Coturnix japonica: one gene and its partners. Each later gene encodes a partner of the first gene's protein in a complex. Links are inferred from orthologs where the notes say so. Each region holds a gene or a part of one and is shown on either strand. Other genes may lie near its edges. The genes, in order: NCBP1, nuclear cap-binding protein subunit 2 and NCBP3.

Evidence for each region.
Region 2: the proteins of NCBP1 (region 1) and nuclear cap-binding protein subunit 2 are in contact, whole or in part, in a crystal structure (PDB 5OOB), measured with the Homo sapiens proteins. The link is inferred for Coturnix japonica from reciprocal best matches to the Homo sapiens genes NCBP1 and NCBP2. Residues at the interface, in NP_002477.1 of Homo sapiens: Glu32, Cys36, Leu71, Thr74, Val75, Arg77, Leu78, Leu79, Ser324, His325, Trp326, Lys327, Glu328, Arg329, Lys330, Ile368, Val370, Met371, Thr374, Glu378, Asn415, His419, Ser422, Asn423, Gln425, Lys455, Arg458, Leu459, Ser460, Tyr461; in NP_031388.2 of Homo sapiens: Gly4, Leu5, Leu6, Lys7, Leu9, Arg10, Ser11, Asp12, Ser13, Tyr14, Glu53, Glu54, Gln55, Tyr57, Glu58, Leu59, Lys62, Ser63, Asp65, Lys67, Ile69, Tyr89, Asn96, Arg99, Tyr100, Asn102, Gly103, Thr104, Arg105, Leu106.
Region 3: the proteins of NCBP1 (region 1) and NCBP3 are in contact, whole or in part, in a cryo-EM structure (PDB 8BY6), measured with the Homo sapiens proteins. The link is inferred for Coturnix japonica from reciprocal best matches to the Homo sapiens genes NCBP1 and NCBP3. Residues at the interface, in NP_002477.1 of Homo sapiens: Lys330, Ile377, Glu378, Cys380, Lys381, Pro384, Pro388, Gln389, Ala392, His420, Asn423, Phe424, Gln425, Arg427, Trp428, Ser429, Glu431, Asp432; in NP_001107590.1 of Homo sapiens: Glu572, Asp574, Glu576, Leu577, Gln578, Ala580, Trp581, Gly582, Leu584, Ile585, Lys588, Glu589, Arg592.

Annotation. Positions count from the first base shown.
Region 1 is NC_029547.1:62,573,648-62,584,059, reverse strand, and holds the start of NCBP1 (nuclear cap-binding protein subunit 1), read left to right. Parts: upstream 1-4,631; 5' UTR 4,632-4,737; coding exon 4,738-4,780; intron 4,781-4,892; coding exon 4,893-4,978; intron 4,979-5,116; coding exon 5,117-5,217; intron 5,218-6,194; coding exon 6,195-6,351; intron 6,352-7,671; coding exon 7,672-7,779; intron 7,780-8,320; coding exon 8,321-8,442; intron 8,443-8,962; coding exon 8,963-9,032; intron 9,033-10,412. Other genes in the region: TSTD2 (thiosulfate sulfurtransferase/rhodanese-like domain-containing protein 2), read right to left, coding at 3,034-3,142, 4,077-4,354, 4,490-4,588. UniProt on the Homo sapiens protein: Component of the cap-binding complex (CBC), which binds cotranscriptionally to the 5'-cap of pre-mRNAs and is involved in various processes such as pre-mRNA splicing, translation regulation, nonsense-mediated mRNA decay, RNA-mediated gene silencing (RNAi) by microRNAs (miRNAs) and mRNA export.
Region 2 is NC_029519.1:2,390,719-2,401,191, reverse strand, and holds nuclear cap-binding protein subunit 2, read left to right. Parts: upstream 1-5,062; 5' UTR 5,063-5,190; coding exon 5,191-5,277; intron 5,278-5,527; coding exon 5,528-5,709; intron 5,710-6,396; coding exon 6,397-6,535; intron 6,536-7,179; coding exon 7,180-7,278; 3' UTR 7,279-8,202; downstream 8,203-10,473. Other genes in the region: TEX11 (testis-expressed protein 11), read right to left, coding at 1,287-1,406, 1,490-1,570, 2,021-2,100, 3,194-3,278, 4,706-4,818, 4,929-4,959. UniProt on the Homo sapiens protein: Component of the cap-binding complex (CBC), which binds co-transcriptionally to the 5' cap of pre-mRNAs and is involved in various processes such as pre-mRNA splicing, translation regulation, nonsense-mediated mRNA decay, RNA-mediated gene silencing (RNAi) by microRNAs (miRNAs) and mRNA export.
Region 3 is NC_029534.1:3,962,971-3,972,769, reverse strand, and holds the start of NCBP3 (nuclear cap-binding protein subunit 3), read left to right. Parts: upstream 1-1,001; 5' UTR 1,002-1,094; coding exon 1,095-1,301; intron 1,302-2,953; coding exon 2,954-3,019; intron 3,020-3,558; coding exon 3,559-3,664; intron 3,665-4,427; coding exon 4,428-4,553; intron 4,554-6,080; coding exon 6,081-6,209; intron 6,210-8,287; coding exon 8,288-8,361; intron 8,362-9,300; coding exon 9,301-9,409; intron 9,410-9,799. UniProt on the Homo sapiens protein: Associates with NCBP1/CBP80 to form an alternative cap-binding complex (CBC) which plays a key role in mRNA export. NCBP3 serves as adapter protein linking the capped RNAs (m7GpppG-capped RNA) to NCBP1/CBP80.

The DNA of each region.
Region 1 (10,412 bases):
ACAGATTGTGGTGAAAATGAGCAAAATATGATTCACTTATGAAAGGCAGACACAGAAGTAGGTTTGGAAAAGAGACTAATGAGGCAGGGATGGAGACAAAAATGATTACAGTGAAGCTGAGCAGAAAAAAATAAAGCATAGTAAAACATAAACTGGAATTAAAAAAACAAACAAACCAGGAGCTGCCTTTATGCTGTTTCAAAAGACTGACAGAGAGGTAAGTTTGAGCAATAAACAGAGATAATAACTGGTTAACTGGTAGGGTTACTCCAGGCAACCCAACAGGCTCCCAAGCAACCCTACATGCTTGAGTTGGAATAGCTGAAAACTGCTTGATGGAAAGAGACCGATGGGCTGTCAGCTGAATATGAGCCATCAGTGTGCCCAGGTGACCAAGGCCAATGGCATCCTGGCTTGTATCAGGAATGGTGTGGTGAGCAGGACTAGGGAAGTCATCCTATACCTGGCATTGGCACTTCAAGTACTGTGTTCAGTTTTGGGGTGCCCAGTACAGAAAGGACATTGAGGTGCTGAAACAGGTCCAAAGAAAGGCAACAAGGCTGGGGAAGGGCTTGGAGAATCAACCCTATGAGGAGTGTCTGAAGGAACTGGGGCTGTTTAGTCTAGGGAAAAGGAGGCTGAGGGGAGACGTTATTGCTCTCTTCCAATACCTGAAAGGTGCTTACAGCGAGAGTGGGGCTGGTCTGTTCTCACTGGTGACAGGAGGGGAAATGGCCTCAAGTTGCACCAGGGGAAATTTAGTTGGCTATCAGGAAACACTTCTTTACAGAAAGGGTTGTTAAGTACTGCAATAGGCTCCCCAGGGAGGTACTTGGGTCACCATCCCTGGACGTGCTTAAAAACAGTTTGGATGTGGTGCTCAGGGACATGATTTAGAGGAGGGCTGTTAAGATCTGGGGTAGTATGGTTGGGTTGTGGTTGATCTTGATCTCTAAGGTCTTTTTCAACCTGAGCAATTCTATGATTCTATGATTAACAAGCAAATACTGCAGTCAGCATTCAAATTCCTACTGAAAGTCTGCTTCAGGAAGAGCAGTGGGATTGTGCTCAATGACTCAGATAGCTGAAAGGAAAATGTGAGAATGTATAATACAGCATGCAGTACTAAATGTCAGCATGAGTCATTTCACCTACATCACTGACACAAATCAAAACTTCTGAGGTGAAATGGGGAAGAAAAAAGACTGAACACAGGAGTGGAAAGAAAAAAAAAGCATTTGAAAAGGCAACTGCTGAAACAAATTGGAAAGGGAAAGAAAAAAAGACTTTCTTCCTCCCCTATCCAGCCACTAGAAAAGATACTGAGCCAAAGAAAAGAAGTTAGTGCATCAGAGGACATTTTACCCTCAGACTCTGCAGATGTGGACTAAGGGAGATGTCTTCTTTTCTTTCCTTTTGAGTAAGGAAGGTTGGGTCTGTAGAACATGGAGCACTGAACCCATTCTGCTTTAAAGATACCCACCAGCAGCAGTAATGCACTTGAACACAACATGGCTTATCTTAAGGTACAGAGGCAGGTCTTCTACTATTGGCATAGAAAGAAAAGCTATTCAGGAAGACAGGTCATATATCAAAGTAGTGTCCTGATCTGAGCTGCCCTCTTGAAAAAGTCTTCCTCTCTTAGGAGCTTTTGAGCCCAGAATTTGCCTCTGCCCATAGCCTCCAGTAGCCAGCTAGATGAGCCAAGTGCCCTGTTGGCCCAAAATGAAACTGAAGCTGAGAAAAGTGAGAAAGTAACGTGACATGCCAATGAGTGTCAAGCAGGCATTCCCTTTATTACAACACTGAGTGTGTATAATACGTACATGTGCACTGAGAGAAGCAGAGACTCCGTATTTAAGGGTATTGCATATACACACTCATTACACTCCAAAGACATGGGCAGAAATCCCCCTTCTACTCAGCTCTTCTGAGGCCCCATCTCGAATGCTGCATCCAGGCCCACTAAGATGGTCAGAGGGCTGGAGCACCACTCTAGAATACTGAGGGAACTGGGCTTGTTAAGCTTGGAGAAGAGAAGGCTCCAGGGAGACCTCATTGTGGCCTTCCACTATTTGAAGGGAGCATATAAACAGGAGGAAGAACTGCTGTTTACAAGGGTAGATAGTGATAGAACAAGGGGGAATGGTTTTAAACTAAGACCGGAAATTTAGGTTGGACATTAGGAAGAAATTTTTCACATGGAGGGTGGTGATGCACTGGAACAGGCTGTCCAAGGAGGTTGTGGATGCCCCATCCCTGGAGGCATTCCAGGCCAGGCTGGATGTGGCTCTGGGCAGCCTGGTCAGCTGGGTGGTGACCCTGCCCACGGCAGGGCCTTTTCAACCCAGGCCATTCGATGACTCTATGAAATTCCAAGAAATAATTAACACCTCTGGTGGCCATGGGATGAAGCCAAATAGTCATTCTCATGATAAACTTCCAACCTTTTAAGGGGGGGGGGGGGGGGGGTAGTCCAAACCAGCTCGTACTGGTGTTTTGTTGAGCTGAGGCATCTGTTTCACTCTCCCATCTTCAACAACAGGACATCTATTCTACTTTCTTATCTTCACTTTCTTATCTTCACTTGTTAGTTTCACAGCCTCCACATTTTGTACTTGAGCTTACATTTATGCAAGCATCCTGTCCTTCAGCTTGTATCTGCTCAAGTTATGCAAAAGGCTGTTCTCACAATATGGAAAAGCTGTTCTCATGATTCAAAATGAACAAAGATACCATGTAGGAAGGAGCACTGCTATGTTGTGGTGTGACCAAAGCAGTTAGTTGCTCGCTTTTCACTCTTGACAATTCTGAATTACAACTTGGTGCCATGACCCCAACCACTGCACTTGGTATTGACACATCTAGCAGACCCCAATCTGTGTGTGCTGCATGTCCAGCTTGGCCTTCAGGGCATGCTGAACTGCACTTGTTACCTCATCACAAGGTAAAATGAGCATCATTGATCACAGAGCCTACAGTACATCACTCACTCACATGTTCATATCTTAATATATCTGCCTAGAACCTTACCTTGCCAGTGAGATGCAGATGCTGGCACAGAGCCTTCTGCCAAGCACAAAGTTTCTCTGGATCCTTCACCTCACAGTAGCAGTAATACAGAAGTACTTCTCCCACCTTGCTGCCCAGAACACACAAAAGATGAACAAGTAGGAAAAGGATGTTAGAGTTGAAAGCACAAACCCTTTAAAAAGCTGACGATTTTCTCCTGGTGGATGTAACAGGGGAAAAAAACACAAAATTCTGGAGAGGTTAGAACTGCTGAGTCTAACTCATTTCCAAGAGAAAAGATATAAACTAAGGGTAGTTCCAAAATTCCTTCTTCTATGAACTAAGGTGTGGTGTCCCACCTTCTGGCTTGCCTGAGCTAGACTGACTGAAGCAGAATCATCTTGGGCCACATATATGTAAGGCTGATCCAAAATTAAGGCCTCCTATATACTCTCAGAAAATACAGCCCACGCAAAGAGCACAATAACACTATTAGAACAACTTATCACCTAAAAAACACTGTTTTTCAGCATTGCCACCAGCATTAGCTACACATTTCACTAATGATGAACAAGAGGCTGCATGACAAGCTAGGGATTAATTCTGGAGCAGTCCTCATAAAATGTATAGAATAGTTTATATCACAGAATCACAGAATGACCCGGGTTGGAAGGGACCTCAAGGATCATGTAGTTCCAACCCCCCTGCCTGGCAGGGCCACCAAACATACGCCTTTACTAGATCAGGTTGCCCAGGGCCCCGTCCAACCTGGTCTTGAACACCTCCAAGGACGGGGCATCCACAACCTCCCTGGGCAGCCTGTTCCAGGGTCTAACCACTCTCCTAGTGAAGAACTTCCCCCTAACATCCAACCTAAATCTTCCCTCTTTCAACTTAAAACCATTTCCCCGAGTCCTGCTATTGTCAGTTTATGCATGTAAGTATCTCATTGCAACTCAACACATTCCATTGAAAACTTATAGCTCCTATTCTCAGGTTCCTGTAGCAAAATAGAAAGCAAGAGTACATATTCGTGCATAGAGCATAAGCCACACCGGCCTTACCTGGTCAGCTCGTCGCTGCGTAGGCCGCTGGTGTCGGGCAGCACCTCGCAGAGCTCTCCACAGGCCTGTCCTCCCGCCCGCTCAGCACACACCGCCCTGCTGATGGTGCCATGCCCTGCCGCCTGCTGCTCCACGTCCCCGCCGTGCTGCGTACCGACGTGCCGATGGATACCACGGCGCTCACGGAACGTCTGCCGGCAGCACCTCCACCACACGGCCGCCCCGCTGCACGGGTAGGCGGCCGGCACCTCTTTGGCCTTGACGAACAGGGAGAACGCCTGCAAGGCAGACGGCCGTTACCACAGGCGGCCGGTTACCACAGGCGGCCGGTTACCACAGGCGGCCGGTTACCACAGGCGGCCGGTTACCACAGGCGGCCTGGAGCCCCAGCGCCCCGTGCCCACCCTACGTACCTTCCTTCTGGCGGAGGCACGCTGTTTCCTAGCGGCGGCCGCCTGAGCCGCAGCGCTGCACCGAGATACAGCCTCCGTCTGCGCCTCGCCCGGCGCCATCTTGCTCCTTCGGCCCCACCCCCGGAAGAGCTGTGGGGCTGAAAGCGGAACTGGAAGTGGAGGCGAGGCCGACGGAAGCGGGCGGGGAAGGAGCGCGGTCGGCTGAGTCCCGCTCGGCGCGGCCCGGTGTGTGCTCGTCACTCAGCGCCATGTCGCGGCGGAGACACAGCGATGATAGCGATGACAGCGATGGTGAGCGATGGGTGCCCCCACGCTTCTCCCTGCGTGGCCCTGTGGTGGGTGGGATGGGTGGGCGGCAGGTGAGAGGCTGGGCGGTTAACGGTGTGGTCGCTGTGTGGAGCAGGGCAGCCCCACAAGAGGCGGAGGACGTCGGAGCCGTCCGAGATCGAGGAGAGGCTCGAGTCGCTCATCTGCAGAGTGGGGGAGAAGGTAGGACACAACGGCGGCCGCGTGGCGCACGGAGCGGGGCTGGTGTACTGCTGTATTCAATGGGCGCTGTTAGACTAAGTGTTGTCTGGTTGATGCTGCAGCATTTCTTTATTTCTTCCTTTATTTTGCCTTCTGTAGAGTAATTCATCCCTGGAGAGCAACTTGGAGGGCCTAGCTGGTGTGTTGGAAGCTGATCTGCCAAATTACAAAAGCAAGATACTAAGAATTCTGTGTACTGTGTACGTATGCAGGCTGGGGGGGACTGAGAGGTGCTTGCTTTCCTTGCATTGGAAACATTGGAGTGTTTGAGGCAATCTGAGCATTCTGTGGTGGTTTTTTAGTTCTCAACTGTTGTTACCTTTCCTACAAACAGAAGAAATAGAAGGGATGAACTCACTGAGTTCTGGGGGTAATTTAAGGAAAATATTTCCTTGCCGTATGTGAACTTGAAATGTATACAAGGCTTCAAGCAGAAGAGAATCAGCACTGTTGCCCAGCAGCAGCAAAAGCACAATGCTGGGTAACACACTGCCCCCCAAAGAAATAGAGGCATTGAACCTGTAGGCTGCCAGTACCTCTTGCTTGTGATGCCTTCCTGTGGCCTGTTCCTCTGCTCTGGGCATGTGGTGGTGCTGATTAATGAGCCCATCCTTGGGAACACAGAGGGGCTGCTGGCAGCACTCCAGTCACTCCCTATAGTGGTAAAATGTATTTGAAAATATAGAGTTAGTCTACAGGTATGCAAAAAAGGTTGAGGAAAGCTAGTTGTTTACAATAGGACCCACCATTTTCTGTTTTTTCCCTACAATCTCCCTAAATCAATTGCTTTGACTGAAGAAACTTAGGATCAAATTTATCAGTGTAAAATGTGTAAATCTTGTGTAGTCTTAAAAGAGCGTTTTGCATCTTTGAATAAATTCTATCACGTTACTTAGCCCCATCTCCAGGACACTTAGAAATTAGAAATAAATAAAAAGCAAATTACTTAAATTAGTTGCAAGTGACATCTGCTTTCCTAAAAGTAATCCTCCCTCCTAGAAAAAGAAACAGTCTGAAAGCATTAACCATGGGAACAACTACAGATTATGTTAATGTTTTTTGTTACTTCCACATGAAACAAGTTTAGCTTACTATAAGCAAATTCTGGGCTGGTATGCTGTTGTTGGTTGGTTTATGATGAATAAGTGCTAACGCTGTGTTTCTCTTTCTGTGTCAGTGCACGTCTGTTACCAGAAAAGCTTACTGTTTACACAACACTAGTTGGGTTGCTGAATGCCAGGAACTACAACTTTGGTGGGGAATTTGTAGAAGCCATGATTCGTCAGCTTAAAGAATGTCTGAAAGTCAATATGTACAATGAAGCTGTGCATTTAGTAAGTGTCTCTTTGTGTTAGATGTTTTCCTCACCTTTTTTCTTTCCTCCCTTTCACCTTTCCATGAGAACTTGGCCTTTCTACATGTATTACAGTCTTTAAATTTCATTGATGCTTGCTTTTATGTAGATAAACTGAGAGGAATTGTATGTTATATGAGGAGTACTTCCTTCCCAAGGGGAGAAAAATCATGTCACAGTTGCAGACTGTGTTTCAAATGTGTATTTCCTCAGTTGCAAGTTAATTTGCAGCCAAGGGAGGTCATTCTGCTCTTGCCAGCCTTTTCTGCAGCAAAGTATAAAAAGTGGATGAAACTCATGCTTTTTGATATTTTGTATTAGTTGCTCTTTTGGCTCCCATGGAAGGGGAAAAAAAGGCTCAGTCTTAAAACTAGTGTTTCATGACTGCTACCAGGCCTGTGTTATTTGTCCCCCAAAGAGGGGTAGTCAGAGAAAGCAGACAATTGTTAGTGCTTTCTCTGAAGCCACTTGCTCAGCTCTCACTTCAGAGATCTTATAAGAGAGAAGACCAGTTGCAAGCTACACTGCTTCTTTTAAAGCCCATTGATGAGGGAAGAAAGAAGAGAACAGTTCCCACTATAACATGTTCCCAAAACTTTTTGTAGTACCCCAAACCTTTTCTACTTAAATTGCCATTTATGCCGGTCTGGATTTCTTGTTAGTATGCCTCCAAATGAATGATGTATTCCTGCCATGAGGAATGTTTTCATTGCCAAGGCTGATTCCTAGCCTTGCTCACCTTTCTGAGACCTGACAATGCAGTCAGCTTTTACATCAGCTTTCCCTTTGTAGCTATCTGTGTTTATGAACAAATAACTATGGAAATTTGTCTCATCTGAAAGACTCTAAATGATGCCATTTCTGGTTCACCTCTGGACTCATGAAGAAGTTGATCAATCCAACTTCAGCATTTAAGAAGGCATTTGTGGGTTTGTTTGTTTGTTTTACACTTGGGGAAGAGAAAATGTGGTTGTTCTATATGTTTTGTTACGTGCTTGCATGCCTTTAAATGCATATTGGTGTTTCCCACCCTGCCATTATTAGGAGTTGTAGTGTTACAGTTATTACGGATGTTACAGACATTATGGACCTCATGGACATTATAATGAGCAAACTGTGCTTGACTGTGCTTACATTGTTCCTTGTGGTTGCCAGGGGTACCTGTACAGTATGCAGTATTTCTGCCTTCCTAGTGCTGAATGATTACCTGTATCTTTGGTTGTAGTTGTTGAAGTAGTGTTTATCTCGAGCAGCCAGCTAAAATACTTTCATTGAAAACACTTTTTTTGGTCTTTTTTAGGTTCGTTTTCTGTCTGATCTTGTGAATTGTCATGTCATAGCTGCACCTTCGATGGTAGCTATGTTTGAGAACTTTGTGAGCGTGACACAGGAGGAAGACGTACCACAAGTAAGTCAAAGATTTGTAGGCTCCTCCAGGGCTGTTTTCAAGGACATCATTACTTTACCATTGCTTTTGTACTTATGCTTGGCACAGGATGGTTTTAGAGACAGCAACCTAGATGGACTGGCATCTGCATGTTCCTTGATATGAGTGAAAGTGGCCCCTGGCAGTTGGGAAATACTTATGTATAGTAAGGAAGTGTGAGCCTCCATAGTGAGGTATCTGCACTGAATGAATCTTACTTTACCTTGGCAGCTGCACAGTGCCTGGCTTGTTCTGCCAGGTTTGTTTACACTCAAAATATAAAGATAACTGCAGGAAGACTGTGAAAGTGATTGTTTTCAAGCCTGATTGTCATAGTTCAAGTTAAAAGTTGTACATTTCTAGCAGTAATGTATGTTTTTTCTTCATTACTTACCTACTGAGTCTTCAGCTGCTGATCTTTGTGTCACCACAAAGCAGTAGTTTAAATTAAAATGGAATGTATGTAGGAAATCTTCTAGAGCTTAGTTGTGTGCTTAAGTCTCAGAATATTTCTTTCCTGTAGGTACGATGTGACTGGTATATGTTCGCATTTCTGTCATCTTTACCTTGGGTTGGAAAGGAATTGTATGAAAAAAAGGATGCTGAGATGGATCGTCTTTTATCACAAACAGAAAGCTATCTGAAGTAAGTTGTAAAATATTCCTTCAAGTACTTATTCAGGATAACAATAACCTTGATTAGTGTTCATTTAAAAAATACCAGGTCCTAGGTCTAAGTTGTTTTCGTTGGGATTGGGGGGAGAATGCATGGAGAAATGTAAGAACACTGTAAAAATGGACAGATGGAGTAATCTACCTTTTAAAATTTAAAAGTTTAGTTGCATTGTCTATTGTTAGGGTATGGTGACAGTCTTGTCCAGCTTGTGCTGGGACAGCTGTAGCAGTAACTGCTGCAAATACTGAAAGGTTACCTTAGTACTGTGCAGTGAGACTAGATTTTGTCTAGGTGATTCAAGTTAGGATTGCTCTCAGGATATGATTGCAGAGATGATAATTAAAACTCTTTTTTTTTTTTCTTTTGCATACTAGACTTCAACAACTGAAGAGATTAAGTAGTAGGGTACTTGTTTTTTCTTTTTTTTTTCCTTATTGTGACTGTACTAAAAATGCTGTTAAGGGTTAGGTTTTCTTTTCTGTGTAAACAGACGCCGCCAGAAGATTCACGTTCCAATGTTACAAGTCTGGACTGCTGATAAACCGCATCCACAGGAAGAGGTGAGTGGGTTCTGTATTGTATTCTTTGAGAAAGTCTGAAAATCTGTTGTGGTAGAAGCACAGGCAGCTTCTATTCAGACAGCTAGAAGATTAAGAGGTACCTCTGAAAGTATTTGTGCTGTTAATTGTCTCCTGTTTGTCATTATTTAAAACAAGTTCTAGGTAAGGAGTTCCTGTCTAAATCTTAGACCTAAGTTGTGGCATGTTATGGGGTGAGTATTAGGTGTTACTAAATGAAGAATGGCTGTAAGCTGTGGCAGTGCTTTTGGAACTGCAAATAGAAGGCTTCGTGCTACTTTTGTGAAAAGCAAAGTGTAATTCCATGCCCCATAGTGTCTTCTCTTTGCTAGGAAGGAGTCTTTAAAGTGGCTTTGCTTTCTCAGCACTAGGAAGTACTAAACAAATGTACAGAAACTGTACTCAGCAGCTTCTGTGCCATCTTTCTTCAATTAAAGTAAAAATACTACAGAGTGGAGGTGGTATCTGTGTAGCTTGGTGTAGAGTTTACCTTCTCTGGTTTTGGTTTTTGTTTTTCTTCTTATTCCTCCCCCAAGTTTGGGGGCAAACTTGGTTGAAAAGTGTGATTAAAAATTAAGTGTATCTTCAGGGAGTTTTTTGACTAGTAATCCTTTGTACATTTTTCTCTGTTCTGATTAAATCAAATCCCTGTTTTTAAATCTCAACAGTCTTAACAACTGTCTTGTTAATGCCAATTTGAAGAAATAGGATTTCTGATAATGACTGTTTCATCATGAGTACTGTTCTTGCGCAATATCTGTTTTCTCATTTAGTTTAGTAAAAAAGAGATTAGCAGAAAGCATTTTAGAGCTTGTGATGTCCAGCATACCTTCAGTGTTACTTTTCATATCAGGTGCTAGTTGTTCGTATTTTTTTTCCATTTCATAGAGTGGTGCAAATGACTTCTTTGTGGAGATTTTTCACCTTAAAACGTGCATTCAGTAAGGCCACACACAGATTGCTAAAGTCTGTGGCCTCCAGACTTCTTGAGCCTGCTTTTAGCAGGGGCATTGAAAGCAGCTGGACAAAGTAGACATGTAGCTAGTATTACAATTAAGTGTGTGTACCATTTCTGAGAGAGTGTTAGGGTTTCCAATTGATCTGAAAATCATAGCAAATATATTTAATTGTTGGTACTATTGCAATTGTCTTCAGTATGCAGCAGCTGGTACTTTTGAACATGGTGGTTCTCCAGAATGTCTCTTCACTTTTAAGTACAGATACCGAATCTCTTTGAATACCACTTGTGAGCACTGACTGAAATGACTGTAGTCTTGCAGATGTGTTCAAAGGGTGGCTGTCATGCTTGCCTGGACTGTCTTTTGCTGTTTAAGAACAGTGGTTAAATTTTGTTAACAGGAT
Region 2 (10,473 bases), on another chromosome or scaffold:
GGTGTTCAAGACCAGGTTGGACGGGGCCATGGGCAACCTGATCTAGTAAAGGTGTATGTTTGGTGGCCCTGCTAGGCAGGGGGGTTGGAACTACATGATACTTGAGGTCCCTTCCAACCCGGGTCATTCTGAGTGATTCTCTTTTGTCTCCATTATCAACTAGAAATTAAATGAAAAATTCTGGCCACTGATTTGGTCTGTTTGGGGAAGCTCTTCATTGTTTTGAAGACAGTGCTCCCCTTCTGGATTCTGAGATCAGCGCTGCTATCAGCAAATGGAAGCAGCTGAATTATCTCATATTTACACCCATACGTCCATAATAGTCTGCAGTGTTGACAAAGTACTCAGAAGCTTCAGTCAGGCAGCAAAAATCAGGACAATGCCTCTCAAAACACAGAATTTCTGATTTAATCTGCCTTACTGATCCCCTGGAAAACACTCAGCATATTTTGAAACCTCTCACATTCAGCTAGACTTCTATCTTTAAATTATCAATCATAATTCCTACCTCGTTGTATGATGACAGAGGCTGAGACTTTAAGGAGAATTTCAAATGTCATGGAACTCATTATTTTCAAATATTGCCTTTTTCTACCCATTCTCCCACTGTTTCAAGGCCTTTATATGTGAAAAGCAGCATGTATTGGGGTTCATGGAAAGGAGGGTATCCATGTATAGGAAGGTTTCTATCCAACAACATTGAACAGTAATACCTTTGATTATATTGCTCATAAGAGTCAAGAAACTTGTAAGGTAGAGAAAACTCTGGAGCTGTGGCTCAGAACATCTGCTTGTCAGACATGAACCACCACCAGCACCTTCTTTTGCTTTTCAAACAGTTTAGTTGCAAATCCCAGCACAGTCTGAGGAGTGCTTTGAAATGACCAATTGTGCTGTGTACATGCTACACAAAAGCAGTTATAGGGACCTAGGCTCTAAGGCAGTTCTATCCCCTTCCTTGGGCAAGCACAGGTCACCTTTGGAATTGACACGTGATTCAGAAAGGCAGCTGTTGTATAAACACCCAAATTACAGAGCAACAAATCTGAACGAGAAGATATAAACAAGGCAGCAGAAATGACTGCGATAAATTAGGCAAATTAAAACCCATTACATTATTGCAACACCACATTCAAACATCACATCTGATACCTTACATCTAACCAAAGGAAATATATCCTTCAGCAAGCCTGCAGTGCCATGCATTCATACAACTAATTAACGGGTCAGAGTTTCTCTCCATACCCCCCTAGGGATTTATAAAGAGAGCTGGGAGGAACACGTACCGATTCAGCCTGATAAGAGAGCACTTTGAAGAGGTCCTTCTCCACGTCAGCTTTGCACACATGAATATCTGCTTCACCATTGCCCTCCTTACGTAATTTCGCATACAGTTTTTCTATGCTCTGGAAAACAAAGCTTAAGCATCACCCCATGGAGGTCACAAATAGGTGTGTTTATGAAGAACTAGAATCAGAAAAGAACTTACATTTATAGCAATCTCTAGGAAACCATCAGCAAGATCAGCTTTGCCAATATCTATCCACCCTTTACCAGTTTTCATCGACATCTGAAGGAGAAAATGATTGGTGCTTTGTGAAAATCCAATCACTTCCAGGACAGCCAGTGTTAAATCCCTTCTTACTGATATATATATAGTGTAGGTGAGAGGTATTCCAGCTCTTCAGTTTGTCACAAGTGTCTCTCACATCTGAATTAACTCTACTTGCAGCACGAGGCTTAAGGTGCTCCACTATACAACACTGTAAGATACTGAAATAAATGAACGTGCTGCTCTTACAACGTCTTAACACACGACAAAGATGTGGTGCTAACTGCATTGACTCAGCAAGGCATCCCTTTGATAACACGGGCCCACCTTCAGCATGTTATCTTCTCTCACTCACTTTCCATAATTTACAGGCATCTCTCACTCACTTTCCAAAGTAACTGCAATAGGTTTCCAAGGTTTCCCACAGCCACCAGCTGTACTTCACTGCTCACCTGCCATCAGCCTTACCAAAATCTGCCTCCGAATGGTTCCCTCTGGAGGATCGCTGCCTTCACAAAGGTACACCAGCCTGCAAGCAACAAATCTCACTGCAAGAAAGTAACGCGTATATTTCTAAGTTCCTTTTTGTTGCTGTTGTTGAGAAAGTCAGTTTAAAATTATGAGAGAGAAACTTTTGGAAGCTTCAGAATTAAAATTTTAGTCAAGCTGCTTTAAATTGCTTCTCAGGCATCAAAAAGAAAAAAATCCATCCCAAGATACCAAGATATTCTCCTCAAAACGTCTATTAAACACTTTAGAAAGAGTTTAAGTCAAAGACACGGCATTCAAAGACTTAATTACATTGCAGGTGCTCACTGTAACATGCCTCGAGCACCTCAAAACAGCCTTCAGCAAAGTAGGGAAATCAAGTTTAATAATCTTTACGTTTTCAAAGTAAAAAGCACAAGTATCTTCTGGCCTTTTTTATACACTGGGGATAGAAAACACACCACTTAATGTATTTAAAATAGCCTCTCCCTGGCCCTTCAGCTGTGATATAAGATCTGAGAACATTATGTTCTACAACAATTATCACTTATTTTGTGTAAACTTACCCTTTTCCCTTCACCTGACATCACTTAACATGATGCAGATTATACTTAATTTTAACCGCTATCCCTTAGGACAAAAATGTAGGCCAGATACTGCAGTCCTGCAGCACCACATAAAGAACTGGTTGACAGCATAGACCAAAAGCTCACTTTGCTTTTCCCCAGCTCTAAGCAAACCCACCAGCTGTATGTAGATGGCTATAGATGGCTGTATATGGAAGGCTATAGATAGAAATTGACAGTCAAAGATTTACATCAGTGTTATGTCCACACATTCACAATAGCATCACAAGGCAATGCAGAGTTTCCTTTGGAAACATCACCTCTTTATTGATGCACTGGCACAGAAAGAGGGAATGATGAGAATACCTACTCTGATTCTGTGCCACAAAGAACATCACTGTTATTCCATGGTGATCCTTCCCAAACTGTTTGTGTAAGTCCAGCTGCTCAGTTTCCTCTGTCTATACCCTATCGGCAAACATCCAAACAACCCACAGCACTATGTATATACCTGTCAGCAGGGAGCTTTTCCTTTCCACACTGCAGCACACAAACACATTGAGAAAGGAAAAGAATGCATACATACATTTAGCTCTTTGCTCATCGTTGATGACAGAACTTGTGTGTTTGGTTACAGCCCAGTTCCACAGGCTTATTGCACCCTCTTCAACCTGAGAGAGAATTCCATTCCATTTAATTTTATCATGCGTTTGGATTAAGTTGAAATTTACTCCTGAAAAAGCTTCCATCTTTCATGTTTACCACGGCACAATGTTTGGACTATTCTATTTTACAGACTGGGTACTCCAAGGGACTGGGAAGCAGTTAGCAGGGATCACACGCTTTTCACAAGGATATTTCACAACATATTCTCAGTCTTCTAAAAGACTATTTCCCATCTTCTGAACGTTTGAGAGTCTCTGAGATGACAAAGGTAGGAAAGAACATGGCTGCAAATCAAAGGCTGCCATGGCCTGAAACTAAGAAGAGCTAATTAATCATAAGATCAATAGCAGCAAGCACATATATGCCATGTCATCCATCAGTGCCTTCAGCTCCGATCTGAAGTTAAACCAAACAGCAAATCCTGTTTGAGAAGTGGTGGACTTCAGAAACATTCAAATATGTTCCTGAACAAATCCCATTAATCTGCTGTATTGCTGAAACAGCCTGACATATGTTTCTGTCAAGTCCTTTTCCAGGCCTAGCAAAACATGACCTGATTTACCCCATCCATCTGGGATGAAGTTTTCTCACATGCATTCATACATACAAAATTTGTGCAACAGCACATCGCCACATCCAAAACACAACTGAATCCCCGGCAGCTTTCAGAACACATTATGTACATTGTAAGCAGATGTTGTGAAATTAGAAAGGGCTGGAAAAGAGAAGTGTATCAGATTTGAAAACACATCTATAGTGTGACTTTAACTCTTTGGCCTGTATTGAATTGTAAGTGGTGGAAAGGACCCTTTGGGGCCATTTGATTCAGCTCCCTGCACTGAGCAGGGACACCCACAGCTCTGTCAATGCTCAGAGCCCACCCAGCCCGACCCTGGGTGTCTGCAGGGATGGGGCACCCAACTGATCTCCGGGCAACCTGTGCCAGTGCCTCACCACTCCTACAGTAAGAAACATCTCCCCTATATCCAATATAAATCTCCCTTCTTCTAGTTTGAAACCATTTCCCCTAGTCCTGTCACAACAGACCCTGCTACAGAGTCTGTCCCCTTCCTTCTTACAGCCTCTATCTACAGGCTGCTCTCAGCCCTCTTGAGCCTTCCCTTCTCCAAGCTGCACAGCCCCAGCTCTCAGCCGGTCCTCACAGGAAGGTGTTCCAAGCCCATGGTCATTTTTGTGGCTCTCCTCTGGACACACTCCAACAAGATTAAGTGGTTTAATCGTCCTCAGTAGCAACCCAGAAACTTCTGATGTTATCAGATAAACAACAAAAGCTATGGACTGGAAACTCTCGTTAAAAGCTGATGCAGCTTTGCACAAAGGTAATAAACCCTGATAACCCAACGTTGCGGACAAGCCGGCAGTGCTGAGCGCCCCATGCACGGGGAAGGACAGGCGGTGCGCGGCCTGCTACCTCCGCCGCGCTGCCGTCCGCCTCACTGAGGGCCCCCGCCGCCTGGAACAGCTCCTCGGTGAGGGCCGCGATGCGGGGCGGGGCCTCCTCCCTCAGCAGCTCACGGAGCAGCTCTGCAAGACAAGCCGGGAGGGAAACGTCAGGCTGAGCGTCGGAGCGGCTACGCAGCCGCAGCCGCAGCCGCAACCGCAGCCCCCGGGCGGCGATATTGAGCGGCCGGTACCTCCCGCCGCCGCCATCCGCCCGCCCACCATGGCCGACACCGCCCTGAGGAGAGCGCCGGGCCACCCCGCGCTGCATGCAGGGAGCGAAGCGGCGCGCGGTGATTGGCTGCTCGGCACGATCGCCCCGCCTTTCCGCCCCGTGTAGCCAATCAGGCTGCGCGGCGGTTGGCCTGCCCGCTAGGCCGCTGTCCTGCGGGAGTCGCGGCGGTTGTGGAAGGATCCCGGGATCAGGGACCTGCCGGGAGCCGGCGAGACAGAGAGATGTCGGGGCTGCTGCACACCACGCTCAGCGGGCTCAACAGCGACTCGTACTGCGAGATCAGCCGATACCGGGACCAGCACTTCCGGGTGCGCGCGGGGCGGGGGCAGCGGGGCCTGAGGCCGAGGGGCCTGTCTGGGGAGGGGGCTGCGGGCGGGGCGGGGCCGGGCTGCCAGGATGTGATGTGCCATAGTGTGGCCCCGTCACGGTGTGGCCCCGTCACGGTGTGGCCCCGTCACGGTGTGAGCCCGTCACGGTGTGAGCCCGTCACGGTGTGAGCCCGTCTCGGTGTGGCCCCGTCACGGTGTGAGCCCGTGCTGTGCTCCGCTTTGCCCTCAGGGGAGCAAAAAGCTTCAGGAGAAGTTCCTGAAGATCTCCTCCACGCTGTACGTGGGCAACCTGTCCTTCTACACCACCGAGGAGCAGATCCAGGAGCTGTTCTCCAAGTGTGGCGATGTCAAGAAGATCATCATGGGGCTGGACAAGGTGAAGAAAACAGCCTGCGGCTTCTGCTTCGTGGAGTATCCTTTCTGGGCCCTATTTGCAGTAAGATCAGCTGTCAAAAACCCTGAAAGGAGTGAAACTCACGGGGCTCCCTTCCAGGCATACTGCTGCCTGCATTCCCAACACCACCCAAACCACCCGCATTGCCATAGGTGAAAGTCGTGTGTGGATGCTGAGCCCTTGTACGGCCCAAGCTATGGGCACGTGTTCACGTTCTCACCTTGGCTTCACACCTGCAGAACCAGCAGGGAGATCCGTGGTGCTGTTCCCAAGCACAAGGCATGTGCTCGTACACGTTGTGCTGCGAGCTGTTTGCAGAGCTCTCCTGTGAGGCCGGTGCCTCCTGTTCAAATTCAGTTGAGTTTAATGTGGTATTAAAAAAAAAAAGCATCAGATTTCTTGCCCTTAGCAAGGCTTTAACGGTTTGCTTTATCTACTTGTGAAATAAGTGATCCAAAGCTGTTTCTTGTCTGTACAGGTACTAACATTGCAGCCAGAACCTGAGGAAGGAGTGGGAGCTATTTTCAGCTTGGATTTATAGAGTACAGCTTTTTGATCCCATAGAAAAGAGCGGGAAAAGTAGAAAAGGCTGGAAGACAGGAAAGGTTCTTCTGCTTCTTAAATACAATGGCTTGATATTGGTGTTTTTTTTACCCTACAGGCAGCAAAGTGGCATGTTTAGTTTTCCTTATGGTATGGTTTAGATATTACACAAGAGCAGATGCTGAGCACGCAATGCGATTCATCAACGGCACACGGCTCGATGACCGCATTGTTCGAACAGACTGGGATGCAGGATTCAAGGAGGGACGGCAGTATGGAAGAGGAAAGACTGGTGGACAGGTAAAGGCAATACCAGCTCAGGCCTTGAATACAGTCCCCCTAGGGCAGTGCTGTTTTGTTTGTTTTGTCTCATTCAGAAGTGCAGACCCAGCAATGAATTTTAGGTGATATTGGTAACTAGTGCTACCTTGGTATAAAGAGCTGGAAGCATAACTATGGCTACAGCTGGACAGGACTCCATGACTCCTCACAGTACAAGCGAAATTTTCCCTGTTCCAGGCTAGCAGTTTTTAAATGATGCAGAATTTGAATGGGGAGGGAGCACAATTTCTAGATCCATGATGGATTCATGATCCATCAGTTTGCCCTGTGAGAAGCTAAATTTCCCTTACAGATTTCTGGAGGGTTGGGGAAGGGAGAAACGCTCTGGAGGCCAAGCTTAGCAGTTCAGAGAGTTGGAAGCTGGATGACAAAGCTGAATCAAAATATTTTGGGATCTTTGCTTCCCCTCTAAAATGATCTGACAGCAGATGTATCCTCATTTGTCACTTGCACCATCTGTTTGGTGGATTGTTTGAAGAGATTTCAAACTGAGTCAAAGTAATTCTCACCTGAACTTCATTTCTCAGACTACGGAGCAAGGAAGTGGTGATGATTCTGAAGCCTAACATGATGCTAATACTTGTGTTACTGCCTTGCTCCAGGTGCGAGATGAATACCGGACAGACTACGATGTGGGAAGAGGAGGTTTTGGCAAGATTATACAGATGCAGAAGGCAAATCAACAGCCTGCAGTCTACTAATTGCCTCATGGGTTCTAGCTCGTAGAGGGCTCTGTTCTTCTTGAGCTAGCCGTGTTCTTGCGTTTTGGATTGGGGTAGGGAGTGAGATCCAAGTTCCAGCAAAAGGTGACCCTCCTTAGACTGTGGATATACATGTGTTCATTCCCCCTTTCTTCTGGATTAGAGAGGATGTTCTGTGCTGATACAGGGCAACAAGGGAAACAAGTGGACAACTCTGCAGGATTCTGGTAAGAAGAAATGCAGCATGTCACACGCACCTCATGTTAGGATGTACTCTTTGCATTACAGCTAGGCGGTTGGCTTCTTCCAAGCCATGATTGCAGCTGTGGTTGCTCTCAGATAGAACTCTGTGAACCGTGCCACTGTTGGAGCCCTGTAGGTGCCCGGGCACCTTGTTGGGATGCACAGAAGTTTCAAAGTTCTAATTTACAAGTTCACCTGCTTACAAAGCAGTTTCACTATTTGGATGAGAGAAGCTGAGCAAGGTCTCGCTGTCCACTTGGAGGTGCTTGCCTGTACATCTAGACCTTGGGTTGGTCAGGGCCTGCAGAGCCTTTATGATGCCCCAGTGCTGCCTGCTTTTTCAGATCCTCACTGTTCGGCATGGTTTTCTTAAAAGTTTCTTTCAATTTTTTAAATAAACAGTGAGTCCTGTACCTGTTGCAGTCTGTGGCTCTATGACAAGACCTGCAGGGAACATTTCCTGATGGTACTTTAAAGTTGCTGTCACTTGCAAACACAAAATGGGGGACATTCTAAAGGAGGGCACAAGTCTTGCTGTATTTCTGTTGGCTTCCCTCTTACTAATAGCTTTTCCTCTTGTGCTTTGCAATAGCTGATGGCTGGTATCAGAGGGAAGCTGCTTATAAAATGCTCTGAATAAGTAGTCTTTATGTTTCATACCAACAGATTCCAGGAAAACTTGTGATCTTGTCAATTATTCCACAGTGTGAGACATATATGAAGCAATACAAAAGTGTAACTTGCATTTAAGAGAAGGAGGAACCAGAAACTCCCCTGTGTTCATGATAGACTTTCTTCCCCATTTAAGAGAAGCATGGCTGATACTCTTAAATTTTTCCCAGGGTCCAACAAGGGAAGAGAGAAGATTAAAACCCCCACTGATCTGTCCTCTAGAACCTCCCAGCCAGGGTTACTGGTTTCATTGGACAAATTAAATTCTGACTAATTTGGTTTAGTGTGATGTAAATAATAGTAGCTGTTCCTTGTCCAGTAATGTGTAATCATGATATTTCATGCACTGTCTCATCCAAGATAGTACATGCTGTTCTATTGCACACCCATGTGTAGACCAGGCATGTAATTTAATGATTTTAACTCTCGCATTACAGCTGAGGAGGATGGTATGGTAGCATTAATGCCTTGAGATGTCTCCTACTTGCTTGTTTTGCAAGTCAGGTTGCTGCATTCTGACAGCTGTCACAAGTCTTGAAGGAGCAACATGTTTAGACCTCACCTGACTGAAGAAATGACAGGGTTGACAAGCCTGTGATACGAGCTGCCCCTGAGATGCAATGAAAGGAGCAGGATGTTGAATTTGAAGAGAAGAATCTAAGCAGTTGTCTGCCAGCCTGGCAGAGCAGCATCATGTGAGGTCCTCTGAGGGGATATGGATTACATAGAAAAATTGCTTGGGCAAACAGCTAGCAGAAGGGAAAATGTGAGAAATACGGGGAAATCTGCTGTGAAACTCTTCTGTTAGCTACAGAATCTCACGTATATGAGGTAGGGAAACAAGGCAAGATCTCAGTTTGCTCCTGATATGGCATGTTGGTCATGTCATTCCTATGTGTCTGATAGAACATGTAGAAATCTGTTCAGTCGAGCACCCGCCTGGGCTGTTTCATGACTGTGGCAGGCATGTCTGTCCCTGCTCTTCAAGATACTATAATTTCTTCTCTGCACTGGTCTGCATGTCCTGCTCGTTTCAGCCTGGAGGGAGAGTACCTCCCTCCTTCAGCAGGTCCCAGACCAGTGTTGGCAAGCTGTGCACTTCCCCTTTAGGCATAACATTTGCGAAGAGATTTGTGCTGACATTTATTCAAATACGTGTATTTGCTTAAAAGAATTCATCTCAAATATTACAGCTGCAGTTAATGCCTTCCTTCTAAAGCCATCCATCCCACAGAGAATTAAAGAGAGATGAGAAGGTTTACAAGTAAGTAGGTGATCCCAGCTCTTAGCCTATGCTGCAGCATGTATGTACCTACATGGAACCACACTGCAGCAGTCAGAAGAGCCACTCTTGCCAGGGGTGTGATCAAAGACCAGGGCTGCCAACATGCTGGAGCAGCCCCTCCTGCCCTGGCTGTACTTGCTGGAGCATTGTGCCCAAAAACCTCAGGCTCCAGGGTTGCTTTTCAGGCATCTTTCATTAGGCACACAAAGGCACCATTAGAAGAAGAAAAAGTCCTTTGTCCTCACAGAACTGGGGCAGTGCCAAGCTGGCAGTGCAGCTAACAAACCAAGACACCTGAAGTGACCCAGGAGAAAAAGTGCAGCTGGGCAGCAAGCCTGTGGCTGCCTCTCAGAACTGCTAGCTGTTAACCTGCTGCAGGCAGCAGCCACCAGACCCAGTGGCTCTTTCAGCAAATGACTCTGACACTGAGTTCACCAAAGGAGCTTGTACACTCCTCAGGCTTAGTTGCGTCTCTCCACTGGATCCCATGTGTTTTGCAGAGACCATATTACTCCAGGACAGAATGAAGTTTAGCAGTGAGTGGAGCAGTTTCAGCAGGCAATGCTCCTCACACTCCTCAGCCTCATGCTCACTCACAAACACCACACTCAGAGCCATCTGCACCGGGGAGGGGAGGAGGAAAGTTCCAATTCTCATTAATTCTGGCAGCTTTTATAGTCCCCTTTGATCCAATAACAAATCTGAGCAAACTTGGGAGCAGTCAGGAGAACAGCAACATTATAGTCCTGCTGCTCCCCCCCGACTTCCAGCCACTGATGCCCGGAGAAGATGCCAATCACCTTCCTCTCCCACTTGTGCTGCATGGGATCCCACACCTTGCCATACACCCCAGAGCCGGAAGCGCCAGGCCTGGCATTGCAGTGCTGGTAGATGAGGTGTGCCGTCTCATCCTCCACCCCACAGAAGCGGTATAGCAGCTCTCCTGGCCGGTCACTGTCAAACCCTGAGAAATGAATCCTCTTCCCAGCCATCTC
Region 3 (9,799 bases), on another chromosome or scaffold:
ACAACTGCTGGCAGTTGGGAATATTATTGCAAGAGTTCCCTCTGGTGGTCACTAATGGGGAAATGAATAATACTTCCTCTCTAAGAAGCTTTTTTTTTATGCTGGAAAGATTTATTGTTCAGTCACTCTATTATTTTTAACAGCCTTTCTTTAGTTCTCTAGATAATGACTGAGAACCTTCTCCAGATTCCTGTTTCATCATTAACACTCCACTCCTCACTAGTTTACTACCACTGATTCACCCTTTCAGCACAAAAGCTGCAATAAAGGTGGAGCTTTTCTGCTCCAACCTGCATTCCTTCGTTCACATTTTATAGGCAGAGGATGCAGTCCTGAGCGCTGAGTGGAAAAGAACAGAGATGGAGACTTAGAAGAATGAAATTAGATCAGCTTTAATTGTGAAGAATTCACAGTTCATAATGAAAAGCTGGGAAGTATCAAGAGATTCTGCTCACCTATTCAGCAGCCAAAGCCTTGCATGCATTCAGGCCTGGTTTTCCTCCTCTGATTTGACTGTTCCTACATCATATACAGATCTAGATCCTTTGTATCCTTTCTGTATCCTTTATTTCCCTTATAACAGCATTTCTGTCACAGAAATCTTCCCTCTACTGATGATTTCAGGGTGTTTCTGCCCTGTTTACTTCTCATATGTTCACATAATCCATTCCCATCTGGCATGGAAATATCACCTGCACTGATATATATCACTTGGTGGTTCCTGTCAGGTGTTGGCTGGGTGATGTCAGCAATGGCAAAATAACTGACATTAACAACCTGCTATTGGATTTTAGAATCATTAAGATGGGAAAAGACCCCTCAGATCTCCAAGTATGGAATGAAACGTCTGTGGAAGGCAGTTCACTTCTGCCACCATCATTATAGGACGGGAAAATGGCGGCCGGCGGAGGGCCGAGGGAGCCGCTCTGTCTCCCCGTCTCTATGGCCGCCCTGAGCGCGTTGGCGCCGCTTCTGCAGCGGCTCCTGGCGGCGCTCTATCCGCGCTGCCGTCTCTGTGGTGTCTCTGGGAGGTGACGCTCTGCACCGCGGCTGGGCCGTCTCGTTGGCCGGGCGGAGGGCGGGCTCGGGGAGTCATGGCGGCCGTGCGGGGCCTGCGGATTTCGGTGAAGACTGAAGCGACGGCGACAATGGCAGAACCCCGCGGCACTGAGCCTGAACCTATGGAGGTGGAAGAAGGCGAGCTGGAAACCATCCCCGTGAGGCGATCGCTCCGTGAGCTCATCCCGGTGAGGGACGGGCAGGGGGAGCGAAGGAGGGACCGGCACCTGAGGGGGGGCAGGGTACGTAGGGGCGGCCCTAAAGGCACCGGGGGGTTTATGTGAGGGAACGGGGGGTGGAGGGGTCGGGAGGAGGGAAATGGGGGTGGGAAGGGGGAGGGGAGATGAGGGAGGGGGTGGGCAGTGGGGGGAGGTACGGGCTGAGGAGCTGGAGTGTGAATGGGATGCTCAGGCAGTGCGGGCCCTGAGGGTTTTTTTCTTGTTCTCTCATTTTTTGTACTCACTGTTCTTAGATAAGTTCAGCTATGGTCAGGTTGAATGTATGAAAGTGGGTCAGAGTTGATCTCCGCTCCTAAGTAGGCTTTTGTTTGGAAAATGCGTGTGGAAAATGCTTGAGGAACTAATCTCTAATTAGCTGCTTGACCAACGTGCTTCAGCTTCAACCGACCTCCCCTATGAGGACAGGCTGAGGGAGTTGGGTTTGTTCAGCCTGGAGAAGAGAAGGTTGCGGGGTGACCTCACTGCAGCCTTTCAATACCTGAAGGGAACCTATAACCAGGAGGGGAGTAAACTCTTGGAAAGGGCTGACAATAGCAGGACACGGGGAAATGGTTTTAAGTTAAAAGAGGGAAGATTTAGGTTGGATGTCAGGGGGAAGTTCTTCACTAGGAGAGTGGTGAGGCCCTGGAACAGGCTGCCCAGGGAGGTTGTGGATGCCCCGTCCTTGGAGGTGTTCAAGGCCAGGTTGGACGGGGCCCTGGGCAACCTGATCTAGTAAAGGTGTATGTTTGGTGGCCCTGCCAGGCAGGGGGTTGGAACTACATGATCCTTGAGGTCCCTTCCAACCCGGGTCATTCTGTGAATATGTGGCCTAAGAGACAGCACCCAACCGTATGGACTTCCTTGTGCTCCATCAGACACCTCCAGACAGCAGTGGTTTGGTTGTTGTTTTGTTTTGTTTTTTTCCAGTTGAAAAACGTTTATTTTGCTGTTCTCCGTTTAATTCTATTCCTGTTTTAAATATCTTGTAACTTTAAGGGAAGTTTGTTACTAAGAAAAGCTGTTGGGCTCGGTGTGTGACTGTTTTCTAACCGAGCCTGACCTACTTTTTAGTAAAAAGGCCTTTAGCCAAAATAATTATTGGAGCACAAGGGTAAGCAGCATATTTATCCTTAGACATAGCAAGGCACGTTGCTCATGTCACAAACCTTCCCTAGGAGATGGTTCTGAGGGTTCCAGAATGAAGCAGTTGTGAAACATGCAGACAGGACACAGCTGGGTCACTACTCCAGGGTTCGTGTTGTTCACTACAGGCTTAGGTTTCAGTGGTCTCCATTGGTGGAAATGAGTTTTATGTTTGTTCGTCAGTGCTGTCAATCTTCCTCTGGGTCTGTAGTCATGTATCAAACCAGGGATAATTTGTATTGCTTCTGCCCTGTTGCTGAGACAAAGTAAAAATGTGAGCAATTGAACAATTAATAATACAGCAGTTATTGCAGAAGCACACGTTTCTCATAGCAGAGGAATCTGGGTTCATTTGATGTGCTTTAACTCTCACTGATGTCAGTGAGGTTAAGTGCTCATATACCTGACTCTGTATGGATGTGTAGCTTGAAGTAAGGATGGATTTCTCATAGGCCAGATTTGTTTTAGCCTAGTGATTACGTTGCAGTCAGCATTCATTGAGTTTTCATCACTGTTTTGCTTTGTTTCAGGACACTAGTAGGAGATACGAAAACAAAGCTGGAAGTTTCATTACTGGAATAGATGTAACATCCAAGGTAATTTCTGTCCTGTGGTTCTTTGAAGTGTTTTAATTATTGCGGCAGGAAAAGAGGAAACACTTCATTTCTTTCCTAAGAGTCACAGAAGCTTCCTATTATGAAAACACAATAACTAGACAATTCTCCTTCATGTTGGTTGCAAACAACATCTGGGTGGGTTCTTGTGATTTCTAAGTAGCAAAATTTGTGTCCAAAACCTGAAAATGTGTACAAAGTCTGTACATTTGTTAGGAAGGAAAAATAAATCTTACTGTTCCATCATAGAAACTGGTCATGGGTTCAGGATATTTTATTTTCTACGCATTTTGATCCTCATTACGTTGCCAGACTTGCATTAGAAGTACTAAATAGCACAGTAACATGTCAGTGAGTTCTTTTAGTGTTCTGAAAGATACAGATCTCTTCAGAAATAAGAGAAATATTAACATAGCTTGTTGCTGCTTGGTCAGTTGTATTTTAATATCCAGTCTTATGATGTCAGTTGCTGGGAAGGCTGTGCTGTTCCTGTTTTGACTGGATCGTTTCACATTGTGCAGGAAGCGATTGAGAAAAAGGAACAAAGAGCAAAGCGCTTCCATTTTCGAGCTGAAGTGAATCTTGCCCAAAGGAATGTAGCTCTGGATCGAGACATGATGAAGAAAGGTATGATTTTATCCAGCAATTAAGAAGGAAAGGTCTCTTTGTTTGCTTCCTCACAGTTCCTTTACTTAATTTATATTGTTTTATCTCCTAGTGGCACCTAATGTGTGTGTGTCCAAGATCTGTCTTTGGGACCGATGCTGCCTTAAGTGTATTTAACATCCTTGAAAAGGCCTTAGGCACTGTTTGTATGCGAGTGTAGGACTCTGTGTCCTGTGCACAGAAAGATCAGATTCCATGAGTGATGGCACATGTGCTGTAAGATGGCAAGCTGGATGTGCTGGAGTAGAAGCAGATAAGCTGAGAGATGTGCACACACAACAGATAGGCATTTTTGGCATCCAGTTAGTTCCCAAGGCCTTTGTCCAGCTGGCAGCTTGGACCAGCTGAGCTGAGGCCTGTAAAATCTCTCCATGAGATTTGCACAAAACTTGTACTATGTCCTGGTCATGGGCCTCATTAGTATTATGCTCTTTGGTACGTAGTGGAAGAACTTTAGTAGCATTTTAAAGAAAAAAAGAGAAAAAAACCTGTGTAAGGCAGTTTGATGTTTTTCAGTCCCTTCACCTTTCTCTCTCTTTTTAATTCTCAGTTAACATTTTACATTGTGGAATAACTCAAATTCTGGTGTTGTAGAATGGTGAACATCATTCTTTTACACCTTTAACTTATTTTGAATGTTTGCTTTAGAAATCCATATGTTATGAACGTAAAAACTTGCTTTGTAGAAATGAGTGTCAGTTTTCTCTCTCTTCCTCTTTTATAGCAATTCCTAAAGTGAGACTGGACACAATCTACATTTGTGGGGTGGATGAAATGAGTACTCAGGACATCTTTGCCTATTTCAAAGAGTATCCTCCTGCTCACATTGAGTGGTTAGATGATACTTCATGTAAGTCAATGGAATCTTGTTTGTCATTCTTTATATCAGTGTAGCTGTACCTTGGATGTCTTTGTGGCTTTGTCTATCTGTTTCCGTTTCATTAACCTTAGCCAAATGAGACTTATTAAGAATTAATAGTGTGTGTTGAAAATCAAACCCACTGTCTGAATGAGTATTTAGAAAGAAAATGATTTTAAAAGGACCTAAATAGCTTACCATTACACAAATCACTGATGTTGAAGGAGAGTAAAATAAATGCACTGGAAGATAAGAGAGTGGACAGTGATTAAAGTGTCAGGGCAGGAGAGTCACTTGTGGAGGACGTGAATTGAGTTCATTACAAGTTAAAGTGGTACTGTTCAAAGTATGGTGGTCTAATTAATACAATTAGAAAAGCTGAAGAGGGAAGAATATCAACGCATAGAGAAGTAAGTTGTGTAGCTCTTAGAAAATGGAGTAAAGAAAACACGATGAAGAACTAAGGTCCCTTCCAACCCATACGAGACTGTGATACTGTGAACTGTTTGTTGACAATCTGAAATTATCAGGAAGGAACAACATAAAGTAGCTTGCCAGTTCTGACGTGAAAAAAAAATGGTCTAAAAGTATGGTACTGCTTACGTTTTGGCACAAATAGTGTATCTGCTTGTGTCACAGAGGATAATATTGAGAGAGGAAATTAACTGTATGCAGCTAAAAGAGGCTGGTATGGCTTTGTGCTGGGAGGGAGCAGACTTGTTGCTATATTTGTTTAGTTCCTTCTCAGGGAAGAATTAGTGGGTGGAGGAAGGTGGCTGATGAATGAGACGTGCATAGATTGGAAGGGGAATGCAAATCCACATAGCAAGGGCTGTTGTGAGGAGTGTGAATGCAGTGAGATTGCCAGAAGGATAAAAGGTTCTGCATCAATATGTATAAAATGCTCTTAATGGGCCTTACAAGTTTTACTTCAGTAGCATCTGCTGATACTTGAGGTATACGTGAAGCACTTACTGACTCCCGTTGTTAACTTACGTACTGTGTAGCCTCTTTAAAGTGCTTGAGCAGTCTCTTATTTATCTGCTCTTTGGAAACGGTTAACAGAGTAATGTGCTAAGGTCCAAAGTTTGGTTAAATTTAAATAAAAATAGAGAAATAATCCTTGGGTTGCTGTTTTATCTTTTTTTTTTCTTTTTGATCTTCAGTTGCATTTCTGTGCTAACACATTCATGAAATTCAGTGGCTCTTATCCAGTACTGTAGTAATCTCTGCTCTGATATATATGTGTAGTTATGCATTTTGGTGGGCTCAGTTATGATCAGTTGTTGTGTGTTTTTGTAACTGGATGAAAGCTGTGTGTCCCCCAGGTGAACAAGGGTTAAAGAACAGGAATTCCCTCATGAGAGATGGATCTGATTACATTTTAGTCATGTCCCACGATAAGAACATTTCTGACACTTCTGTTTGCAGTTTCCCTGCATTAAGGCAGTGCATGTGACTGCTTGTTTACACAAAGCGCATTTTACTTTTGTGTGTGTTTCTATCTGTATGTCACAGGCAATGTGGTCTGGCTTGATGAAGTAACAGCAACACGGGCTCTAATAAACATGAGTTCCTTTCCTGATCAAGAGAAACCAAAAGGCAGAGAAAACAGTGAAGAGAAGACAGCAGAAAAAAACAAGAAAGGTAGATGAGATATGCATATACAGATGTCATCTCATTAAATCAATTAAGCTTTAAACTTGTGCTTGGGTACTGCGTAATCTAAATTACTGAAGGAGCTTCTATCATATAGTTGCAGGTAAATGTATTCTGCCACTTTAAAAAAGGCTTTCATCTTGGAAACCTTTTGAAGAAACTACTTCTTAAAAGGTGGGTTGGAGTTAGACCGACAGCAGTAATTTGGTCAGTACTGAACATGTTAGATGCAGGGTCAGATCCAGATGTGGTATTTGTAGTGGTCCACGTTGCACGGAAATAAGTCTGTGTTATGTGTGTGCAAAGGCAGTGGAAGGATGGATATTTTAACTGTGGAAACAGCAGGTGTAAGAAAATATCCTAGTTTTGGAATACTGCAGTTTATTCTTTGGCTTGATACCACACCACCCTTCATGTATACTATCCACATTGCTGTGTATATCATTCTGTGTTTAGCAGTCTAAATTTGACTGTTTTTCTTTCAAGGCAGAAAGACTCTGAAAGGTCCCTTATAAAAGGGCACTGAAAGTACAGCTCAGTCTTGTGCTAAATTTGGTATCTGAATGCCTTAGTTAGAAATTCATTGTAGTGGTTTAAATTAAGAGTCAGATCAATGTGATTTCATTGTTCAAAGTACTGTCCTAAAGAGTACGAAGTGAAGGGGGGTGTTTTATTTATGAACTCTTCCCAGATTTTGCTTAAAAAGCATTTGAACAAAACGCAAATGGACAATTTCTCTATTCTATATTCACAGTTCTACCAAAAGCCTGTTTGTTAAAATTTGGGCTTTAAACTTGTGGATGCTTCTAACTCATTCCCTTTTCTTCTTGTTGCTTTTCTCTATGGTGCAGTGGTTCCTCCGCCATCCATGTGACTTTAAAATATTGGTAATGCAAGATCTATTACAAAGTTTTAGGGAGATTAGTGAATGTCTTTTTTAAATAGAGCATAAAGATATGTATATTTTAATATTAATCTTGTTGGCTGCGGTGTACGTGTTACATCATCAAAATCATGTCATTTAAATTCCTCCTACATAATCTTACTCACCTGTTCAGCTGGAAAAGTGGGATACTGGATGGAGTACAAGCTAAGCAGATCACATGTTAAGGTGTGGGGTGCATACAGATATATTAATCTGGCTTAGGTATGTCTCTAGATGAGAACTTGAGGCCCGTGTAGACATTTAGGGTTGCAGGAGACATGTCTTTACAGTGAGAAGCTTATATAAAACCTGATGTTTGAATGCTGTCCCTGGTGGAAGTCAGTTAATGTTTGATTTTGGCTAATTTGTCTCCTGAAGTTCTTTTTGGGATCAGATTGATTCATTGTGCTTTAGTTTTTCCCTTGAACTTGGGTGTAGTTGTCAAGTTTTAATAGCTGTGGTTCTCTATTAGAAGTTGTCAAGTTCAGTCAGAGGAGATTTAAGAGAAGGAACTGTGAAATATAGAGGTGGGTTTTTTAGTCATGTGTCTTTTTGGGAGGCTCAAAAACAATTTCCGTAATAATTTTCTTCTGTGAGCCAAAAGAAAACCAAACAAAAGAAAACCTGAAAAACCTATTTAGACAACACATAGTATATGTAGTTTGGGAAGTGTGTGCTCCTCTGTTAGCTATTTCACTTCAGAACTGAGTCACTGCCCTCCCTACTTTGAGTAGTAACCTGCTTCACATTGTGAGTACTGGATACCTGTAGGTACTTGCAGCATTTAGAAGGGAGGTGGAAGGAAACAGGCTTTGATCCACGTTTTGCAGTCTTGTCTTTGCTGATCTCTGTCATACTTTGAAATTGCAGTGCAGTTTCATTTGCTTTCAGATAAGTAAATTGATAATCCGTGCACGCTGCCTCCGGCACTTACCTGTATGGGGGCTGTCTGGTTAATGTTATTCTGTGCTCATGTGTGCTTCAGATTTCTGTAGACATTCACTGTTTTGATTACTCTCTAGGCTGCACAGAGGAATTGATAAACCCCTTCAGTTTGATTTCAGAGACTTTAGATACTAATATTCAAATGAACTGGAACATTAAAATGTAGATTTCTTTTCCCAATTATTTTCTTCTTTAGAAAAACAGGAGGAAAGTACTGATGATGAGACAGAAGAAGGCGAGGTTGAGGATGAAAATCCAAGTGACATTGAGGTCAGTATAGAAAGAAAATGAAAACCCCATTATGGACATTTTGCTCTCACTGATGTATTCGTGACATTATAGTTTTTACCATACATGCTCATAATTTACAGTTTAATTATTGAAGGAAATAAGGTGGAGAAAAAGGCAGGAAGTGCAGATGTTCTGCTGGTGAGAATAGCCTCATAAAAATGCTTTGTGAAAGTAATTTTTGAAGACTAATAGGGCAGTCAGCATGTAAGAGCTAGGCTGCCTGCTCTATCTAGACTGCCTGCCTGCCTGTTAAAGGAGATAATGAAAAAACAATAGTGGAAGGCAGTTTCCTTTCAGTATAGAAAACAGTGTATAAAGTAGGGAAAAAAAGGGGACTTAGGCTGCCCATAGATTTGTGTGGGCGTCAGCAAACACACTGATGTTTTGTAAGTAGTTTAATCTTCACTGGTTGAATTTATATAATGGGTGCCATTAGTATTTTCTTTAGGGATGGCTCAGCAAACATTCACCCAGATTATGGAAATCTGAATTTTGGCTTATGGAAAGCAGTTATAAATAAATAGTAATAATAACAATAATGCCTGTAAGTCACTGTGTGAAGGCAGAGACCCCATTGGTGAAACCATTTGTAGATGAAACAAACAAAAGCAATCAAGTCTTTCTTTTTCAGTGTCCGAGTTTATTTATTTTCTTCATTGCAGTCATACTGCAGCTTCATTTGAGAACTGATTTAATAATCAGAACAAGTGTTAGGGAGGAAGAGACAAAAATATTTTAAACCTTTTGGCAAGAAAAAGTTTAAAATACGTGATAACTTGTCAAGAAAGAAGTGGAGTTAGTCTGAACAGAACATGGAAAGTAATTTAATAACCAAGGGATTGCTTCTCTGCGAGCAATCCATTTTCATTCAAAAGTAATTTTATTTTTGAGTCCAAAATACCTTTTTTGCCCCCAAAGTTGGATGCCCTCACCCAGGTAGAAGAGGATTCTCTCCTGCGTAATGATCTTCGCCCTGCCAATAAACTGGCTAAAGGAAACAAGCTATTCATGAGATTTGCTACTAAAGGTAAATGAACAGCTTAACAAGCATAATGAATTGATTGCTTGTTGCAGTTTTATTTGTTGACTGATTAATTACTTGAAGCACCTAATTTTTATTTGCATAACTGTTAGGTTTTTTGCTAATTATTAGGTATTAAGATTTTGCTATGAATACACATTCAGTTTGAATTAAATCCAGTTCGTGCTCTATGGAGATTATTGTACATAAAATATTATCTTGGGTTTAGGGCATTCTTCCTTCCCAATACCATAGAATAGGTTTTATGGTGTACTTCTCCACAGAGGTGAATTTCATGTTATAAACTTGAAAATCAGTTGTGATGTTTATGAGGTACTGATGGAAATTGTCACTTAATGCAGCTGAGTTATTAAATTGTATTTTTGAATAAAATGA